Kluyveromyces lactis: one gene and its partner. The protein of the gene in region 2 interacts with the protein of the main gene of each other region in a pairwise test. Links are inferred from orthologs where the notes say so. Each region holds a gene or a part of one and is shown on either strand. Other genes may lie near its edges.

What was found.
Region 1: the proteins of KLLA0_A03905g (region 2) and SEC4 interact in a two-hybrid assay, tested with the Saccharomyces cerevisiae proteins (4 studies listed by BioGRID, with this or other methods). The link is inferred for Kluyveromyces lactis from reciprocal best matches to the Saccharomyces cerevisiae genes MYO2 and SEC4.

The regions. Positions count from the first base shown.
Region 1 is NC_006041.1:1,073,831-1,076,467, forward strand, and holds SEC4 (Rab family GTPase SEC4), read left to right. Parts: upstream 1-1,468; coding exon 1,469-2,113; downstream 2,114-2,637. Other genes in the region: proteasome activator BLM10, read left to right, coding at 1-1,103; VTC2 (vacuolar transporter chaperone), read left to right, coding at 2,594-2,637. UniProt on the Saccharomyces cerevisiae protein: Involved in exocytosis. Maybe by regulating the binding and fusion of secretory vesicles with the cell surface. The GTP-bound form of SEC4 may interact with an effector, thereby stimulating its activity and leading to exocytotic fusion.
Region 2 is NC_006037.1:347,596-351,535, forward strand, and holds the start of KLLA0_A03905g (myosin family protein), read right to left. Parts: upstream 2,876-3,940; coding exon 1-2,875. Other genes in the region: FRT2 (Frt2p), read left to right, coding at 3,645-3,940. UniProt on the Saccharomyces cerevisiae protein: Myosin heavy chain that is required for the cell cycle-regulated transport of various organelles and proteins for their segregation.

The DNA of each region.
Region 1 (2,637 bases), on a different chromosome or scaffold from region 2:
TTTCAGATGTAGGTTTCAAGATGGGTTCTGTTGAAAATTTACTCGATCAATTAGTCTTTGACCATCCTTCCGACGTGGTTCGTCGTGAAGTTGGTAAACTTTTCTCAGTTATCTTCTACATAAAGGCAAATGCTCATCGTCCAAACGTGAAGTCTCTTCTCGAAACGGGGGCATCTGGTCCAATTGAGATCAGAGAAATCCCAAGCTGGTTGAGAGAGAGGGCTATTAAAATCTTCAACGAAATTGAAAAAGAAAGATTGTTGATCAAGGACCTACCCGCTCAGGACATCTTGAAGACTAGGTATTTCTACTTGGCATCAACTATGTTCTATTGGGCTGCTCATTTAATCAATACTGGTGCTAGAGTGTGTCTGGGTCCATTTGCTAAATGTTATTTGGCACCCTTCTTGATGAAGTTAGACAGAATGAGAGATGTTTGTAAAATGGTCAACATTAAGGTTTACAGTATTTACGTGGAACTTGCATACATTCCAATAAGCCGCACGTTGTTACCTGACATAATTTCGATCTTGGATGACACAGATTTGACTAGCTCTCATGAATTACGTGTGAATTTGACTTTAGCAGAGAAACTTTTCTCCACACAATCGTTGGTTATGGACCATGCTGGTAAAGTGAAGATCTTAGAGTTCGTTTTGGACAAATTGTTCTGTAAGAGTTTTGTAGAGGTTCGTCTCAAGGCTTCCTATGTCCTTGCCGGTATCGTGCATAACATATCTTATGATACCGATACTTTGCACACTCTCTTGGAAAACTTCAAGCGTCAACTTGGTTCATATACTTTCGAGGAGAAAGCTGCACTCTCCAAATCCAACACAGATATTCACGGTGCGATCTTGGGTCTCGGTGCCATCATCGAAGCATTCCCGTACGTTTCACCGTTACCAAATTGGATTCCAGAGAATATGGCACTACTAGCGTCCTGGGCAAGAACAAGCGGTATGTGCGGTGCTGATGCAAAGAACATCATCTCTAGATACAAGAAAGTTAGAGCAGATACCTGGCATTTGGACAGATACCAGTTCACCTCGGAGCAATTAGAAGATATGGAAGGTGTTCTTTGGAGGAGTTACTACGCCTGAGAAGTTGCACAATCGACACAGATGACCCACAAGCTGCGTATGCACATGAATATATATGTACATCTACAAGTATAAATCGTATAATTTAACTTGACATTGGGTATGCCTATCACCATATACGAATTCGATCAGTATCTAGATTTTGGACAAATATTGTTTGAAAGGGTGAAAGCAGGATAGCCATCACGAAAGGCACTAACCCAAACACTTTACGGCCGAGCTATTAAAACCCAGATTCTGTTGACCAGATATAACCAGCTCGCCACTCCTCCAATATATCGAGATAAAATAACAGTGTTGAACTGTGATATCAATTTTTTTCACTTAATTGAAGCGTGAAGGAAACAAGGGAGATTGAAACTATAATGTCTGGATTAAGAACGGTTTCTGCTAACGGCAGCACGAATAAAAACTATGATTCTGTCATGAAGATTTTACTTCTAGGTGATTCCGGTGTAGGTAAATCATGTCTTTTGGTTCGTTTTGTTGAAGATAAGTTCACACCAACTTTCATCACCACAATCGGTATCGATTTCAAGATTAAAACCGTAGACATCAATGGGAAACGTGTGAAGTTACAACTTTGGGATACTGCTGGCCAGGAACGGTTCAGAACCATCACAACCGCATACTACAGAGGTGCCATGGGTATTGTATTGATTTACGATGTTACTGACGAAAGAACTTTTGAAAACATCAGACAATGGTTCTCCACTGTTAACCAACATGCTAGCGAGGATGTAGTAATGCTGCTAGTCGGAAATAAAAAGGACATGGATACAAGAACCGTGTCTTACGAACAAGGTGAAGCTCTTGCTAAGGAGCTAGGGATCCCATTCATTGAAGCCAGTGCCAAAGACGACACCAACGTCAGCGAAATCTTCTTCACATTGGCCAAGTTGATCCAAGAAAAGATCGATGATGGTAAGATGGAAGGAAAGGCTGAAAAGGAGGGAAATGTAAGCATTCGTGGCTCAGGCTCTTCAGGCTCCAAGTCCAATTGCTGCTAAACCACAGATCAGAGCGTACAATAAGAAATAACAACCTATGCATTGGCTTTGTGTGTGTACATATATATATATATTCAAATGGTATGTATTAGAAAGTTCAAAGGTAACTTTACACGACCATTCCAAATCAGGTGATTTACACGTGACGTAAATAATCACATGACCATCTCCACGTGCCACTCAAGATCAATATAAAATTGCCCAACTTTCCCAATATAAGGGCATCGATGATTATATAAAGAGTGCATTAGAAGGAAATGCAAATAAAGAAACAGATATAAGGATGGACTTAAAGATTTTATTTAGCCAATAAACAGTTGGGTAGATTTCTATTTTCTTGTTCAGCTTCCTTGTATCTTGAATTGAGAAGTGTAATCCTGATCACCATCTTCAGCTTTATAACCAGGAAGGGTTGCTGTTTATTATAACCCTTATAATATTGTCAAAAGAGGGATTTGGTCTTTTTAAATTCAAGGCACAATGCTATTTGGTGTGAAGCTAGCTAATGATACTTATCCCCCATG
Region 2 (3,940 bases):
TTTCCTTTACCTTAGAAGCAAGAGATTCCGTCAATTCAATGACCTTGTTTTCAAGTTTATAACTGACTTCCTGTAGGTGATTAACGGATTTGGCTTCCGATTTTAGTTGTTTTAACTTTCTTTGAGCATAGTGCTTTCTAATGAAAGATTGGATGACCACGGTGCCCTTCTTCTCATGTAGGAAACTTTTTCTTGGTTGGAAAGATCTTACGCTCTTTTGAATCGTAACAGCGGCATCGCCTCTGCGCCTTTCCAATAACTCTTTACAGGTAATTTGCTTTCTAGCCATGGATTGAATTCTAATGATGCTGATGATTATACTGGAAACGTTATCCCTCACAGAAATACCTCTATAGGCACTTTGAATCAATAGAGCTGCATTATTCTTGAATTCGTTCTCAGTTCTTAATCTTATGATCTTACCACTAACGTTTGCCTGTAGCCTTTTGATTGCATCGACAGTCCGTAGATATGTTTTACGATAGTGAAGACCCTTAATTTTTTTCTGGATCATGACAGAGGATGAGAATAACTTATCGGTTCTTAGCTTTTCCAAATGTGCTAGCATACCAGCTTTGAAGAAAATTTTTGTATTACCAGCCTGATACTTTGCAGTATCATCCATTGTACGTTTCAGGATCTCCTTACATAAGTTCTTTACATCTTCTTCAGATGGATCCGATAGTAAAATATTTGACCAAAGCTCTGATGGTACTAATATATGGTATCTGAGGGCAAACTCTGTGTATGTCCACCTCGATGGGAACCCTGCACAAGAAATTCTAATTGTTTCCAAGACACCACATGCTCTAAGCTGTGACAAAACCATAAGATTGTCAAACTTCCATGCTTCTTTGTCTTCGTTAGGTTTGATACAACGAATGTAGTGAACGTTAGTGGAGTTGATAGTTTCCATAAGATCGATCAACGATTGTTTAAACATAGATCCTAGAGTTGGTTTTCTTACGATTTTTCTTGAGGCTGGACCGGGTTTCTTTTGACTTTCTTGCTTTTGGGCTTGTTTCTCTGCCAATTTTTCCGCATTTTTGTCAACAGTTTCCAAAATAGATAGTAAAGTTTCGTTGTTAGAAGCCTTTAACACTTCAAGATGTCCATCAGAAACTGTATCTCTATTCTTTTCGATAAATCCGTCTACATCATAAGTGACGTCCAATGCATAATGGCTAACAATAAATTGAGTTTGGCCGAATCTTGGTTTGGAGAATACTTCATTAGTTGGAGGTTTATTCAAAGTTTCATATAGTTTATGCGTCCATCCTTCATCCGTACCAGCAGGTAATCTTGATTCTTCGTCTAATAATGATAAAATACCAACTTTGTTCTCAATTAAGTCAATACACGGTTGATTATCGTTGAACTCGATAAACGACCATTCAATCTGTTCCTTTACGTACTCCTCTTGTTCTAGTTTGAAAACATGTTGGTTGAACTCTTGTTGCAACTTTTCGTTAGCGTAATTGATACAGAACTGTTCGAAAGAATTCTTTTGGAAATGTTCAAAACCATAGATATCCAAGACACCGATAAAAGTATATATCTCGCTTACCACTTCAGGGTTACATAGCACGGTGTTTATGTTGTCCACTAACCAATCGAATAATGCTGAATATATGAATTTCGCCACAGAATCACGAGAAACTATGGCTTGGTGGTAAGGTAGGGATGAGACGATCTTTTCAGACCTGGTAACGATCTGTTTCTTCGTTACCCATTTAGCGAAATCAAAAGCGTCTATACCTAACAAATCTGCCGCTATTTGTAGGTTTGGTTCATCAGATGACAAAGAAGCATCATTTCTGACCTTTTTAACTTCGATGTTACCAATATGAAGAAGGGCCGCCAAGATTTTAAACAGCTGGAATTGAGTATCCTTTGAGATACCAACCAAACTCAATGCTTCCACAGTATCACCGTATTCAGAGGCGTCATCGACACCTTCGATATGAGAGTCACCGCCCTGATTCATATAATGGTAGTCTTGTATGTCTGTAAGTTTCAACTGAGATTTTTCATCGTCGGATAAACCTGATAATATTTGATAGAAAATGTGGTAATTCCTTTCAGTTTTCGGTTGGAAAACCAACCTAGAACGTTCCAACAAATATGTTCTCACTCTGGCACCAATGATTGAAGTATCGTCATCGAAGAGAATTTCCAAATATTTACCGAATCTGGAAGAGTTGTCATTCCTAATAGTCTTAGCATTACCGAATGCTTCCATGATTGGATTAGTGGCCAATATCTTCTTTTCAGTTTCAGACATTTCCAAATTATGATGTGCGTTTTCCTCATTATTTTCTTCCACACTAGCGAAATATCTCATAATATATTTAGCCGAAACAGTCTTACCTGCACCGGATTCACCAGAAACGATGATTGTTTGGTTCTGATCTGTTGTCTTCATCAACCTATACGCTTCCTCTGCGATAGCAAAAAGATGTGGTTCCAATTCACCTCTAAGTTTCCCTGCATATGCCTGGATCATCTCCTGAGAATATAGTTGATCCACACGATCAAAGGGATTTGTGGCAATGAGCACGATCCCTGAATAAGTATAGATATTCAACTGGGCATATCTGGCCTTAATAGCATGTAAAACTGCCGGTTCATTCAAATATGACAATGACGTCAAATCCTCCGTAGTCTCAAGGATTGGAGGGTTCCTAAGTAGGGGTAAACTAGGCTCTTTGGTTTCATCTAAAGAAGACACTAAAAGCTCTACTTTCTGTCCATCCTCCAAAGTCAATTCCAAATTATAGGAATCTCCCTGCAAGGTATGTTTAGTAACTTCAGCACCGATCCATCCTTGATCTTTGCTGGGATACCAGCAGCGAGTCCCGACTTCGTACGGCATCCTATGCTGATTAACGCTTAAAACCTGAAATCTAAGATCAAATCAAATAACCAATAATTGAATCAGAAAAAGCCAACGAGCACTCAATTGAATCTGCAATGACACACGGCAATTAAAATCAAAACAGTCTCCTATTGCTTCGTACTGCTAGTCACAAGGATACACGGTGTCAGATGCCTCGCTCCCTGTATTTTCCGCTCTACTCTTCTCCTGAAACTCGTGAATCTAAATAAAACACATATAAATCAAATAAGATATATATTTGTTGTTCAAAAGATCCCACTTTTTTTTTGTTTTTTTTTTTTCCCTTCTGTTGTCCCAAGAGCTTTTTAAGTGGACTAAACAAATAGCAGGGATTCAACCTTTCGCGTCAGCGCGCCAGCAACGGATAAGCATGCAGTGAGGTAAACTTGTAGGGATATTTTCGCCTTGGTGGGGCGAATATTTGCTTATGGGGCCTCAAATTAGCCTTTTAAAAGGGTGATTTTTAGTCACGTGTAAATCACATGCACTATCCGGGTAATAGCGTTCCTGGTTCGTCTCTTCATCAGACAATTTCTATTCCAACATGAATAGAGGAAGTCGGTAGGTGGAGATAAGGCGCAGCTATCAAATAAGAATTAGATAGCAGCCTGGTTTCATTTCGTGGCGAGTAAAGACGAAAATATTTCATGGAATGAGGTTTTAGAGTTGAAATATTTTTGCTGAGGAGATTACTTTGTGAATAGGAACTTTAAACTCAAACTCAAACTCAAAAATTCGAAGTCTAATGGAGGTTAGCCATCGTGAACATACCAACCATATTGGATCCCAGGTTAACCCTTTGTTCCGCGGGTCCGTATTTCATAAGAATGATGCCGCAGATCTACGAGTCCCTTGGGATGGGAAACGTCGTAAATCTGGTGCTTCGATCAATTCTAAGACTCAGATGGGGGATTTGACCGAATTCAATCCGTCTCATCATGCCAGTAATAAAAACATTTACCATGACGATATTACGTGTGGTTCTTTAAGGTTTAGTGATGCGTTATTAGATGGCTCGTTCAAATGTCAGGATGAGCATTC